2 linked regions of the Neodiprion lecontei genome follow. The protein of the gene in region 1 purifies or fractionates together with the protein of each later gene. This does not show direct contact. Links are inferred from orthologs where the notes say so. Each region holds a gene or a part of one and is shown on either strand. Other genes may lie near its edges.

Region 1 (6,107 bases):
CTCGCCTGACATAGTTACTTCTCAACGGCATGTCTCGTTGAAAATTATTTGGTGTCATGTCGCGAGGTGACTGCGGTGGTAGTGGTGGAGTCTGAGGCGTCATCCACTGCCATGGTGGAGGCGGATGTGACCAGGGTTGCATGGGTGTAACTTGGGAATGTACTGGTCCAAATACATGAGGTGGAGGAGGGAGCGTGCCTGGTGGGGGAGGCATAGGAGGCAAGGGTGGCTGTCCAGGTAAGGGTTGATTCAGAGCTGCCGGAGAGGGGGAGGGTACGGAGTAACTGCCATAAGTATTATCATATCCAAATGCTGCCAACTCCTGTTTTACTGCCAAACGTTTACTGTCTCCATTTTCTTCAGGTCCCTGAAAACAGTTGCATTTGAAGTTACTTTCTTCTCAGGCTTATTTAATGAACATTGCTCTTTGTAAGATGCTGAAAAGAAATTTACAGAAAGCAAATGAAAGGAATAAATTGGACATTATGTTGAACAACAATGTTATAATTGTAATCATGTAGTTAGTAATAGGAATTGAAAAGTGTACGGAAGCCGGTCTACGAATGTACCGGAATGTATTCTACAGATGCATCCCCTATGCTTCTAGTTACACAGGTCTGGTTTAAAGAACAGATTGGCACAATTTCTACATCAGATGAAAGCAATGGCAGCAAAAACAAGACTGGCTAAATGTTATGAAAAATATGAGAAATAACAGTGCGATAATTCTTCAGAAGAACAGAGGACCATAATATATTTGGTTTTTTAGCCCTCTGAGGGCAACCATTTTCAGGGGTCCCTTGTTTAGGCAACCCTGTGTTAAGCAGAATTGGTTTTGTTTATAAAAACGGTTTAAATTCATATTTTTCAGCTTGTAAATAGTGAAATGAAATCGTTAGAATGTCTAGCGTACGATGGTAGAGGAACGAATTCGATATGTTTACTTTAGATGACGTAGTAAGATTTAATACAAAATGAGATATAAGGAATTGGCAAAAATAAATGGGTAATGATCCAGGTTGCCTCCAGAGGGTCAATCAGCCCTGTATCACTTGAAGTCAACAAAATACAGTCCAAATGCTAACCTTGCAGAATATTTTTTGTAAAGCCTAGTTCAGATGATCATATGTACATCTTTGCTTCGACAATTACCTTGAAGTGGGAACAAATTATAAGGAACAAAATAAAACAAAGATAAAATGTTAATCCAACAAATGGTAGAGTAAGTTCAATAAATTTTCTAAAGCTAAATTATTGAAATGGTTTTTGAGCAATTCCTTAATCATATGTTTGATTTTTTGTCTCATTTTACAGTAAAAGTGAAAGTAATGCGTGAAAGCTGCATTAGACAAGTAATGAAATACTGCACAAAATACAAGCTTTATAATACATATCACTGCATACTTTACACACAAGAAGTGTGTAACTTTGATAATGTTTCTAGCATTCGTACAGTATTGGTTAATGTTAGTGACAACTTGGCAGAAGAAAATTGTGAATTAGAAACGATGTAATGTAAACTGGGAAGAATTATCGAAATAAAAACAGGAGCGTTTGTTATCGTTCAAGCAGCTTAATTGTTATGTGGTTTGTTTACATTTTCTGGTTGGCTGTTTGGATATATCAAGTGAGGATGTTCTTTTTGATGTCCAGTCTTACTCCGTTGATTTGTAGTCTTTCTATTAAACATAATATGATCATCCGAACCTGCTTAAAAAGAGATAATATCGAAAAATAGGTCAATTTTGATGTAACTTCAGGAACAAGCCTAGAAGCTGAGAGTAGTTTTATGACCTTTGTGGCAAAATTGTACGGTGGATTAAAACGTGCAATAGCTGTTTACATTACAAAAATTTGACAAGAAAATTAATCACGACAAATTTAGAGGCATGTTTCATTCAAAAAAATGTCTAAAGACTAATTACACTGTCTTTACCAACCAACGAGCTAACCCCAAATTACAACACGCCTACAAACCATCGATTTTCTAACACGAGATTCAAGAAGAATTGAGGAAAGGGATCCATAGAATAATAACATCGAATATTCACCGCATGCTTCATATTGATCACGATTTCACGGTTCACTGTTTACATGGAATATGTGAGTTGCAAAAAAAAAATAAATATGTTCACTACAAATCACGCGAAATTAGTAGCGTTCCGTGTGGTTGCTGCGAGTTTCACGCTCGCAGAGATGTCGCTGCGGACGAGGTTTTGCGTAGGTGAAAAAAAAAAAAAAAGAAAGACATATAAATAGGGGAAAACAAAAAATACGCCGTCTTTCAATTACAAAACAAAGTTCGTAATTTTCGTGATTATAAAAATAATCAGTGTATTATTGAAAATTTCTCGCTTCATGAAGTAATTACATCTACCTCTGGAAAAGATCCACAAAAAAAATCTGAAGGAACTCAATCATCACGATCGCCGAGGCATCTCTATTTCTTTCTTGTCTGTGTTTGGTCTGTGTCACTGCGTGTTGGTCTTCCCGTTTGCCTCTGCACCGGCTAGCTCGTTTTTCGAAACAATTCCTCGCCGAGCCCGAGTGACTAGTTACGCAAACTCTTACCGACAGATGCCCTTAGTTGTCATTTGCTGAAAATCCTGGCGGTCGACTCCTGTGACATGGCTGCAAATAATTCGGCAGAAATCGAGGTATACTTGTAAAATTTCGTTGAATTATCGTATTTTCTTAACCGAAACTTAACTCGCTTTCCAACGAATATCATTAGTCCGGTATTTTAACCAAAAAAGGTCCGGTTTCACGCATCAGCATGGTTGCTTCCTCGTGCTCCCCGCCGCCACCCTGACCCTCGTCCTTTTGCTGATAGGCATAACCTACTACTATCGCTTCGTTAGATCATTCATTTCTCTGCGTTAACCAATTCTCTTTCTCGTCTTACCGTAAAACGAATTAAAATGATACCAATCATTTTTGTTCGTTCTCCTTGTGTAGATTTCTCGACAACTATTCATTTCAATTCGCGCGATAGTTGATGGTACTTATCATTCATCACTCACGCTTTGGACAACTTCACTCCATACAAAATCTATCAAAGTACTCGTGGTTTCACACGTTCAGAGCTCCGTTCGCTTGAATATGCGGAAATCGCAGTGGTATATGTAGTTTGAATTTACATTTAATTATGTTTGCAGAGTCTGTAGAAAATATTTACCGGCAGTATATGAATGTTGTACAGTAAGCAGAGGTGTATTTATCATTGCAGGATACAGAGAAGAAGGACCAAGAAGTAGCAAATTTGGAAGAATTTCCACCAGAGCTTCTTATCAAGCATCCGTTGCAAAATACTTGGACACTTTGGTACTATGAGAATGATCGCAGTAAGACATGGGAACAAAATCAGCGTGAAATCACAAGTTTCGACACAGCAGAAGATTTTTGGAGGTATTTTTTATAGAAATTTAGTTTTGACGGTCCTTCCACTTTAATATTCCTTCTATCATTTTTGCAAAGTTGAAAAATTACCCTGAATCATTTGTTTAAAAAGTTAAACTCTCAATTAATCAATCAGTAGTACCAAATTCATGTACTGTCAAGTTTTCGTTAAAATTTTTCAATTCCAAAGTAGTATTTACTTCATGAGTAAAGAGAATGGAATGTATATCGCTTTGCTCTCTATGCTTAAATGATGTCAAGTTAGTTTTACGTGCTATACTTTCACATGGTCGTGATCCACTTTCTTCACATTGTATTACATCGAAACATTTACACTTGACCATCCTGTTTTTGAAAAAGTTAACAGTCTCAAGTATCCTGCATATTTCAGCTGTATTATCAAATGTTTTATTTAGTTTCTACCTGTATATTTACACTTCATCTTATGATTAAATTCTTTTTCTAGCTTGTACAATCACATAAAGTTGGCCTCAGAGCTGCGGCAAGGCTGTGACTACAGTATGTTCAAGCAGGGTATTCGGCCAATGTGGGAAGATGATGCAAATAAAAAAGGAGGCAGGTGGCTCATTAGCTTGGACAAAAAGCAAAGAGGAAGTGATTTAGACCGTTTTTGGCTTGAAGTTCTTCTCTGTATGATTGGTGAAGCATTTAACGAGTTCTCTGATGATGTATGTGGAGCTGTGGTCAACGTAAGACCAAAAGGTGACAAAATTGGTGTATGGACAGCAGATGCAAACAGGGGTCAAAGCGTATTGGAAATCGGGTAAGATATTTTTCTAATTAAACCAGAATTGGAAACTGCAGTTTTCCTTAATGTGCCGTATAACCTTTAATATTCTTATTGCAGGCGCAAACTAAAGGAAAGACTGCGGATTGCACCAAGGGTGCAAATAGGCTACCAAATTCATAAGGACACCATGGCTAAAGCAGGAAGCGTCACGAAGAACACTTATTCGGTTTAACCACAGCCCTTTTCTATTATTATTATACATCATCCTCATATTTCCTGACCCCAACCATTCGAATAACAAATAATTGCAGAGCAAATTATCTAATAGATATATTTATGGATCATCTGAATTCAACTGTCTGTATTCAGGAGAGGAATATACACATGTACAGAACTAGTGAATGGCTGAGCAAAGAAATAAGCAGTCCCTTCCCCTATTGCGCCCTCCAAAAATTATGTTGACGTAATCATGTTTCCTCTCATAATACGCGACTGAGTGATGGTTAATAAATGAGTTATTATATAACTAAATGCAAGATTTGTTAGTATAAAATTTTACATTGATATATATAACTTGTTCTCACAGTTATTCACCCAGAGGACATTAGCGCAGGCTGCTGTATTTTTTTTCCCTATATATATAATTTTTCTTTTATAAGAATATGTGAAAGAATCTGTACACAAAGGTATAGTCAAGTCATATGTGGAATAAAGTTATTCTTTTCTCACAATCCTTTGTTATATACCCTCCCTGATGTATAATAGGATTCGTGAAATAATTATCTAATTACTACCTAAAATTAGTGGTTTAGAAATGTTCGAATCAAAAGAATTTAACAGGAATCTTCCACTCAGAACTGAAATACATAAATAACCGAAATGCAGCAGCCAGCAAAAGCAAAATAATTTCTCAGTCCATTACTAGTTTAGTTGCATTTTCACTTCCATTTATACTATACGAATCTGCTTGAAACTGGTAACGATAGAGAATATATCTTTATTTTTCAGTGACCTATTATGTTATGAAAATTGTCAGCGTATGTAATACAGCATGCCAATTATAAATGTTGCCTTGTCAATTTATTTACTGTTTACTTCCCTGTTAAAACTGTTACATTATACTTCATTTTCTGTTACCTGCTTCTGAATTTGTCACTATGCGAATATACTATGTATTCGGACGTGAAACTAAAAATATACGCAGATAAATATTCAACAATTTGTTGATAATAAACGTGTGAAAAAAAAAAGCACAGTCCGGATTTACATTATTACGTAGACGTAAATGTACACATATTATCGTAATATATCCTCAGTAGTCCAAATATTCGTTTGTACCATACTTACATACGCCAACATTACATATCAAGATAAAAACAAAAATATCGAGCACACGGTTTTAAACATAGCTATTATTACAATGCCCATATGGATCAGAAAAATATTATTTACAGCGTGAAAAATTTCGCTCATCGGAATCTTTTTGTGTTTGAAAGAAGTATTATGCTGAAACTATACGCAGCTTAATACAGAAGAAACACACGTACAACTGCTCTGTCTCTACGTTGTTCACTATTTCCGAGTTAGTAGATCGTCGACCAGGTTTCTGAGATCCTTACGTCTTGCCTTTTCTAACGCATTCTTCAAGTTGATCGACCAGCAACGCAAATCACTTTTAGCAGCAAATATTTTCAATGCTGCGAAGGCCTTTTCTTTAGAATCAGAATTGAACTGCGTGTCAATACGGTCGATGTCACCCTCCCTGACATCGAGATATCTGGCCACATCACGCCATGATTTGCCTACTGCTTCACTCACTCCGTTGAACACTATAATTCCAAGTAAAATTAATTATTTGCATGTATATTGAGAGCAATTTAGTTCCAACTCAAGTACAGTATTGCAACAAAATCTTACCCGTATACATAATTTTCTGTTGGTCTTCTGGCTGAGTTTG
Region 2 (9,246 bases), on another chromosome or scaffold:
AAAAAAAATCATCATTATACTTATAAAGCGTTTGACGCTTCCACGAAGCAGTAAATGAAAACTCGTAACCCGAAGATAGAAGTAGACTTGTCGTCGAGGTCGGTGAGGTAGCCGAGCTAAGCCCTCATCCATCACGAAGAGCCCTATTGCATGGCCAACTGGTCTGCGTGCATGTATTTCGAAGTACCGGCCTCATTATCAAAAAAAAAAAAAAACTCGCCTATGGCTCAAATCCTGCAAGCCTCAATCACGGGTTGTCAAAACCGCATAGGAAACGGTGATTGCGGCTTCTAAACATGATAACTTTTTTGTTCTCGGCATATCCAGCAGTTTTTTTTCCTCGGCCAAATTGGCGTAATATTAATTAAGTAATTAGCAAATGTTATTTTAAGCGACGACCACGTATACGGTTAAATATCAGATACCGTCCATCCTGAATCGAGGCTAATCAAGTCCTGCAGAACCCTGCTATGAACAATTTATAAGCATATTTGGCAAAACTGCCTTGGATAGAAAACAATTGTAAGTAATATACGAGTGAATAGAGGCCCGAGTGAGTCTATTTCGCAAGCTGCGGCATGTCGTTTTATAAGCTTTATCGTCGGAAATTAAATGGTAACTGAAATATTTTTTCTATGAATTTCTTTCAAGTGAAATAGTGCTTAAGTCCTGCTGAATATTGTACAACAACGACCATGTCAACAGTGCTCTTGTTGATTTTGTGCCGGTGTTTGAATTTAGCTAAACAATATTCGTCACATACTTGAAAAAAATTTGCTCGAAACCAAAGTATATCATTTTTGTGACATATGATTAAAAAAATGAACCTCTACATTTTCCGGAGCTCATTTTCAGCAATCGGAAATTGTCGAGTGAATTCAGGTAAAATAATTTTCAGCTACTGACCAGCGTGTTTTCATGATAAAACACCGCGAGTAAAACGATCCTGATATTCGAAGTTCTTGGATTCGGCAAAACGAATTATGGAAATCGTTCGTGTGCTTATACTTGTATTTTTGCCACGATGTGCGTGAGTATGGCTCGTTCTTGAGCATAGGATCGAGAGTGAAACGCGCAAGGATCGCGATCGCCAAGGCAGAATCTAGTTATAAATAATACAAGGAATCAGTGCAATCTAGAAGAATCCTGGGCTGTAAAAATATGTCCGATAACCGGGTCGTTCTGGTCGTTAAATTTTGGAGGCGGTTGTCCCCTATTTGCCAAAGAATGATTTACTGTTCTTCGATATTGTATCGCAGTATAGCTTGAATGATGTATGGATCGGTAAATACCTTTAATCCGGTGCCTCAATGGCGCGTAGAAATTCACGCTGTTCAGATACTTTTTTCGAGAGTACGTTATTACATATATTACATATACGAAACTATCTTCTAGTATCGTGACGCAGTAGCGTTGTACAAACAGATGTGAGCTCGATATCGCATTTATAAACCACCGATTTTTTACCGTACGGTTCAACGAGTGTGTAATAATCTTAATGAGTAAATTCGATTTATTTTACAATTGGATTATATGTGGAGAAAACGGAAAATCGCTGTACGATATTCTACGTATACCCGCATATGGATAATATTTGTTTGCTTGCCGAATACCATTATGGTTAACAGAAAAATAAAAAAAAAATAAAACGACCGACAATCATTTTCCCGTTGAGGTCATCCTTCCGCTCCACTTCCTATTTTCGCCAAGTCATTGAAACGGTACACGCACCGATTGTCTTCCTTAGTTTTCATTGTAAAAAATATAATATTCCTTGTAATGAAATTTAATATATAGATTTTGTATTGCGGTACAGACGATAGTAAAATATCATCAATTAGATTTCGTTGTCACTTCGGGCAGAAGCTTAGGCCCACTAAGCCTATAATACACGCAAACTTTTTCGAACAGCGTAAGTATAATTATATTAATAAATATTATTCTTGTTGTCAGTGAATTATCGCACGTTTTTAAAACCAGAAACCTCGTCTGACTCCGTTTTGTTACGTGATTAATTGCCTCGCTGCTGCGGCAGAAGCACCAATAAATGGTATTAATTTTCTATCAGCATTCGCCACATGTGCAGTATCAAGTTTAACTAGGCATCGATTACGATTGACTAATTTAACAATAAAGCCTGGACTCTGTTCACCGACCCGATGTTTACGAATACATGTAATTACCCTCACAGACCTCGAGTTCGTTACTTCGTCAACAATATCGCACAAATATCCTGAGCATAACAAAATTCCGAATTCTCGGATAATCAGAGCTTCGAAATAGATAAATTTTGCATAATTTGAACGATGTACGAGTTATAACGACAAATTCGCATTGGCATCAGTCGTACCATTTAAAATTATTAACGAATCTTTCTTTCCGAACTGTTGATCGAATAATGACTTTAAACCCGTTGAAAATACGCAATTCGAGAAAATTCCAAAAATCCTTGTCCCCTCGCAGGAGGATTAGATTTGTCTCTTGGGTCCATGAAGGAGAGAGGAAGCAGATCGCGTGGCACCAGTGGGCAGGCTGGAAGCTACCGGCCCCGGAGAAGGGGTCCTATCTTCCTTATCACTGCTATTGCTGTCCAATGGCGGAGTGAGGAAGTAATCGTGGTGATAAGGGCGGCGTGTTCTGTCGACAGTACGCGATCTTTCCTGAGGTCCCTGACTGCCAGTCACGTCTGACACCGAGGACAAGTAACGCCACGGAGTGGCGATCGCGGTCACAGCCGAGTTTTTCCCAGTTCTGTGCTTATTTTTAGGTCCTATTCGGCAGTCGACACTCAATTACCCACAAGTCACTGTTGAAGGAGTCCGATTAACAGATCCTTGGACTCAGTCATTGGCGGAAGTTGGATGCAGGACACTCGGCCTTCGCTCCGAAGAGTCCGTCAATAGAGAGTTGGAGGAGGATTTGAGGACAAGACGCGATTCGAATTGACCAGTAACCCTTCAACATGATCGTCAGGAAATAGCAATCAGCGTTTTTTGTTTTTTTTTTGAACGAAAAGAAAGTAACAATCGTACCCAAGCCGCAGAGGTACGCAACTAGAGCTTCGAGAGGTGATCCAATTCCTCGTGTGGAAATGACAGCGACGATGTGCAAGACGACGAGGTCGTTCCGCATCGACGATCTCCTCCATCCGGAACGTGGATCCTCCATTCGAGACAGCGCCGTCTCGTCCAGGGAGGGTGAGAGGTCCTCCTGCAGCTCTCCGACGTCACCCGAGACCCCCATGACACCCTCAACACCACCGCGTACACCCACCATCCCGTTTCCCATGCATCTCCAAGCACACTGGCCTGCGAGACCAACTCCCGTTTACGCACCGCATATGGACGATCGGCGACTATGTCTTCCCTACGACCTTCATCCCTTCAGAGGTGAGTTATCCAGTCGTCCCTTCAGAGGTGAGCCAATGTCCCGGAGCAAAAATACTGGCTCGTTTTTAGCTTCTTCGAACATACTAAAATCCTGTTTACTGAAATGAGCCTCAAAGAGATAACGAACGATTGATGTGCTTTTGGTGTACATCCAAATCAGGATCATCGGGGACCTGATGCATGCATATCGCGTGTTTTCGCAATTCATGCGACATATGTCATTGCCAGCTCGATAAAGTACTGTTACCATGGGCAGCTTGGTCGGTTGATAAACGATAATATTGCGCCTTTGAGGATAATACTTAATTAAGAACGTCGATGTTCTTACAGGATGCGGCTACTGACCATGCAGTGGGCTTTATATACGCACACAATTACGCTTGTACTCGCATTCGTATTTCATATTCAAACTAATAGCTGTTCAGTGAACGCGAATTAACAATTTATAACGTGTACTTAGACACATCCTTTAGCTCTTTACAATGCCCACAGTAAATTGCATAACGGGATTCCCGCAAAGATATTGTCTGCGGAATTTTATTTACGTATTACATGAGTAACAGGATACCTATGGTGCAAAACCAGTGCATGAACGTATTTCCCACTTTGTCTTTCGTGGTAATATAATTGATAGTGACTAAAGAAGTTGGAATATTATCAAGATTTATTCTTTGGGAATATGAATCATAATTTAGCGCGACGTAATAGAGAATTCAGTAACGACAAAATTTACTCTTCCAAAATCCGATCAGACTTCCCGCGGTATTACAGAATTGCAACACATGACTCGATGACAATTTTACAGTATGACTCCCATCTCCGATTGCTTAACATCCTTCGGAGACCGCAAAATAACCACCGTCCCGCTTGTTCGAAAGCACTTACAACTGCGATACAATCTGTCGCTGTCGGCGAGAAGAAATCTACAAAAATCAACCCCAAGAATCATTCGTGGTCAAAGAAATCGAGTATCAGCCACTTCCCGTTTCCGTTTACAGCCGTGATTCTCAGAGGCTGGAGAGATGATATACGTAACGTAGGTACAAGTACAGTCGAAGTGCAAACGTAGTTGATTTTTTCAAAATTTGGGATGAGGTAAAATCAATTTTGATAATCGGTGAAAAACTTGGGTACCGTACGCCTTTCAGCCCGCCTTCGAGCCGAATAGTTTATCATTCGTGCAGCCCGGGAGTTAACACGATATGTTTATCTTCAGGGACTTCCTTCCTGTACTTACTTTCCGTGCCTCCGCTGTATCTCGCTGAAAACGGCTGAATATAAAGCAACATTCCTGACAACTACCCACGTCTGACAAGTTATCGGTGAAATTTTCTCAAGTAGCAATTACATCCGGGAACAATCAGTAATTAAAGAGAGCTAACAATTCGTTAGAGCATGATGGACAGCTTGTTCTTTTTAGTAGGATATATTACAAAATGTTCAAAATCAGGTTGTTTAGCCGAGGAGATCATAATTGAGCAAATCGAGCGCAACAAAACGACAAATAATTTAATTAGTTAATCAATCATATAGCTCTGGAAAGGGTAATTAAGATTAAGCGGCGTTTAATGCGGTGAATTATAGATTACGTCAAGTAGTTGGTTATTAATTACTTAATTACTCAACGATTAAAGTCATGTGAAAGAATTTCGAAGCACGTGCTTATTCAACATCCAATTTTAGTCAGCGCACGTTTGTTGATATTAAATAAATTGTCATTCACGATGATGCACTGTGTAACACAGAAAGATTAAGATCTACCAAGGTCAGAATTTATCTAATTTTCAAATGCCGTACAACGATACTGTCAAAAAGAGATTCCAGGCACCTTTTCATTTCTACATATATACACGAGTATTATGTATACGTATACCGTATATAAGCTTAATCGGTGCCCGTATATGTATATGCATACGGTAAACAACCTGGAAAAGGCACAAACTCTGATCGCGCGGACTATCTCGAAAAGTTTATTTTCCAAACTTAATACGTCAAACAATCCCTATCTATCACAAATATACATATCAATTAAACGCTCTTCGGCAAAGGGTGCAACAGCCGTTCTCAAACATGCTGAAAACCGTTCAGACCGATCGATTCGTAGTTCCGGTACTAGATTTAATTGGCAAAAATTTACATTGTTTATGAAAAAAAGTAGCGTCACTATCGTTCACTCCGTTAATTATCAATCATTGTAAAGGGCAGCAATTATCGCATTCAGTTAGTCATTTAAAGACAGCCGCAATAAAGATAGGAAATATAATATCGCGCACCAACAATATTTTATTGAATACCAATTGCTGGTTTTCCGCCAGTGATGCAATATCTGGCTTAATAAATCGATTAATCAAAAATCTACGACATCTTTTGATAACTAAGCTTTCGCGGTAAGCGCTTTTATCGTGACAACCCGGCTAATAGCTCTGGAATAATATGTCAATCCGTCCGCACGTTCAATCGGTTCTCTCTATCGTGTCGTGCGTGTGTACAGCCTATCTGACAAAAACACCGAAACGTCTATCCTTACCGCATACCAGTGTGCGTCAGCTGGATGGACAAGCCGCTAATCTTGTATAATGTATCATTACGGACTATTTTTAAGTTATAATTTTACATACTTCCATTGTAATTACTGTAATAACAGTATCGCGCAATAAAACTCACGACAATCGAATACTTTTCGAAAATAATACATCTGATACTACCTGCCATTAATCGCGCCCTAATTCCACCGCAAATCTCAAATTATTATTCACACCCGATTGTGTTCATCGGTTACTGCGCGCAATCGTGTTTACCTAATTTATGACAAATGTTCAATGACTTGTAAATTAATTCGTGTGAATCACATCGTTTGCGAAATCGTCGGAGACGTTAACGTAATACTTGGTCATATACCGTCAAGATACATATATATAAGGATACGGTCGAAGATCTCGTTCTCCGCATTACACACTAATCAGTATTTCCTTGATTTTCAAATCGATCACTGATTACCGGTATATTTGGCACTTGGCATCTGATATTTATTACAGGCAGTATCGTTGACACATTCGATACCCTACCGTAGTATCATGTAATTGTCTACGCGTGAAAACTCACGTGCTCCATAATGATCGCGACTCCCTGAAATTGCAGGGTCGCCGTTTTGACTTGAAAGAAATATGGCGAACGGACTTGACCGAGCTATGTTGTAGCGTAGAAAATATTGCGCAATCATTCGTCGAGGCATGAAAACCGAGGAAAACCTGCAGAAGAGCACCTAATTTCTCGTCAATATTAGGTCGATCCGTTTTTCCCCGCAGTCTGTTCTCGATCAAGGATCTAAAACCGTTACATCAAACGCCCATCCGCCCCGGCTACTTCATCGAGGATCACGATTACGTCCGATATACACGCGTAGTTGAACCGATGCAGTAATACTAGTACCTAAAAGATACACGATAGTTACTGTGTACCATCGCGGTGCTACCGGTATTATACGAAAGGGAACGAGTCGTCTATTTGTCGGCGGTCAACACGGTTATCAGTAATGTATTTGATTGTCTGATGAATGTTCCGAGGCGCCAAAAAGAGATTATAATGCTATTGATCATTAATGCCACCGTGCGGGATAAGTGGGCGCAACCCACACCCGCAACTCTCCTCATCCTTGCGGCCTGCAAGTCTCTGCACGTATGTACAATGTACACACAAGCCCCCGCGATATACGCATGTGGATGAGCAAGGTGCACCGATCGGCTCGTACTACTATCAGTTTGGGCACTGACTGATGCCCGAGCCTTGGGCCCGCGCCGCTACCGAAACCCACCAAGGATTACCCCGACAAAATAATATCGATCAATCGTGCCAGAGTATTACCGAATCCCCTGCATACGCCCGGCCTTCCCCCGACTCTAATATCTCTACTGTCATTCCGTATTGTTCAACGATCGGCCATTGTACCACATTTTTTTATCTCTTCTTAAATCGCGACATATCACGGAATAGGCCTGCTAAATTTTCGTCACAACTGTGTATAATAAGATGAATTGGTGCAGCTACGCACCCGGTTGTTTCAGTGATGTGCCCCATAGGGGCCCCTAATCATAGGCTAATCAGGGTACAAATCCACTCTGAGCAGCTCCGAGTTTTAGCCGCGTGATAACAAAAGAGCAGCGGACGAAATGTACCCTGATTTACCTAAAATCGGAAGTCCCCGTGGGACGCTTCGCCGAAATAACCCGGTGCAGTGTGTAGCATTTGGCGCATCCCGATTTCAGAGGGCATTATAGCTTACTTTTTTCTTTACTTACAGCGGTTCCACCAACCAGATTCTGGCCGCTCTATTCGCCCTACCAGATCCCTTTGCAGCACAATATACTGGCACGACTGTCGGCCGCCCATCACAGCAAACGCAAAGGAGGTCAGGTCCGCTTTACACCACAGCAAACTGCGGGCCTTGAACGGAGATTTGGTTCCCACAAATACCTCAGCCCTGAGGACCGCAGGCATCTTGCTGCGCAGTTGAAACTCACCGATCGTCAGGTAAGGAACGATGCTATCGGCATTAAATTTGATGTTATGCCTCGTCACTGCAAGCTTATCCTCAGCATTTGACTTCCGTTCTGTAAAACAGGTGAAGACATGGTTCCAAAATCGAAGAGCAAAATGGAGACGCGCCAATCCAACGGCGGCAAACGGTGAAGGTGGAGAAGGCTCGGGAAATTCGCTTAAAAATGGTACGAGCGGAGAGGCTAACGAGGAGCTGGATGAGCCTTACGACAGCGACTGCGAAAGTCCGATTTCGGTTACCGACTAGACGAACGTTGGAGAGCCAATTTAGATGCCACGATATCTCCGTTGAGAATGAGACACGAGATACGAAGGCGTACTGATCACACTCACCCGAAACAGACTAATCCATGTATAAATATTCCCACCCCTAGGCGAAGTCAGACGTACGCTCAACGTTTCGGAAAGCTGCGAATATCGAGATTCGAACTATTGAAAAGTCTCGACGCAGGTGGATAGATACTTCTACCCAAGTTTGGTATTAACGATGTATCTTTATGCAGTCCCACATTTAAGAAACCGTGACGAGTCGATCGGGTGATCGATCACGGCTGGTCAACTTTGTGCCAGAAATTATAATCGTGCAGTTTTGTTTATTTGCACTTTATACTTACAATTTGATATCGGATTACTATCGTCTTGTTAAACGGTCACTTGATCTCCCGACCCAACGGGATTCCACTTGGGCCTTCAACAAAGGAAAATGTATAAATCGGTGAGATTTCGTATTGGACATTGAAGGAGAAAGAAAGGCTTCGGAACTATCGAATACGAACAAAGTTTGTGTATAGTTTGTATTATAATGTACAGTGAAATTTGAAAACAAACGACCCATGAATTGAATATTTTATATATACGTGTAATCAGCTCATCAGACCAGCATGTTTTATATTAAAATATGTAAATATGGGATGATTGAGTTTGCATTTAAGATATATTTATTAAATCATTACGTTATACCATGTATATAACTGCTTGTATATTGTCATTTTTTTTTTAGTTGATAAGGAAGTACTGCACATATTCAATAGTATTAATATCCCCTGTTTACACTAAAAATATAATAATAATATAATAACATCGAAATGGATTTTGTGAAATAATAAATTTATGCGAAACATGCATCATATATTATATATATCGCTGATAAGAATATCCCTCAAGTACGGCTGACGATAATTCTGGACAAATAAAGCTTTCCTCAATAACTTGAACCTGAAAATAAAAATTATGCCGATGAAGTGAGTGTTCATTCTAAACTATAGCTTGGATAGGTTTACCCTTTGGTCCTGACTGTCCGCAG

Evidence for each region. The genes of interacting proteins can lie anywhere in the genome.
Region 2: the proteins of eukaryotic translation initiation factor 4E (region 1) and hematopoietically-expressed homeobox protein HHEX purify together in Homo sapiens (affinity purification with western blotting; 3 studies listed by BioGRID and IntAct, with this or other methods). This does not show direct contact. The link is inferred for Neodiprion lecontei from reciprocal best matches to the Homo sapiens genes EIF4E and HHEX.

Annotation. Positions count from the first base shown.
Region 1 is NC_060260.1:30,404,276-30,410,382, reverse strand, and holds eukaryotic translation initiation factor 4E, read left to right. Parts: upstream 1-2,522; 5' UTR 2,523-2,627; coding exon 2,628-2,657; intron 2,658-3,229; coding exon 3,230-3,408; intron 3,409-3,865; coding exon 3,866-4,183; exon of another isoform or gene 4,184-4,267; coding exon 4,268-4,382; 3' UTR 4,383-4,881; downstream 4,882-6,107. Other genes in the region: uncharacterized protein LOC107224388, read right to left, coding at 1-367, 1,598-1,679, 2,378-2,421; uncharacterized protein LOC107224395, read right to left, coding at 5,723-5,979, 6,068-6,107. UniProt on the Homo sapiens protein: Acts in the cytoplasm to initiate and regulate protein synthesis and is required in the nucleus for export of a subset of mRNAs from the nucleus to the cytoplasm which promotes processes such as RNA capping, processing and splicing.
Region 2 is NC_060265.1:21,400,922-21,410,167, reverse strand, and holds hematopoietically-expressed homeobox protein HHEX, read left to right. Parts: upstream 1-2,710; 5' UTR 2,711-3,091; coding exon 3,092-3,389; intron 3,390-7,684; exon of another isoform or gene 7,685-7,686; coding exon 7,687-7,916; intron 7,917-8,007; coding exon 8,008-8,190; 3' UTR 8,191-8,565; downstream 8,566-9,246. UniProt on the Homo sapiens protein: Recognizes the DNA sequence 5'-ATTAA-3'. Transcriptional repressor. Activator of WNT-mediated transcription in conjunction with CTNNB1.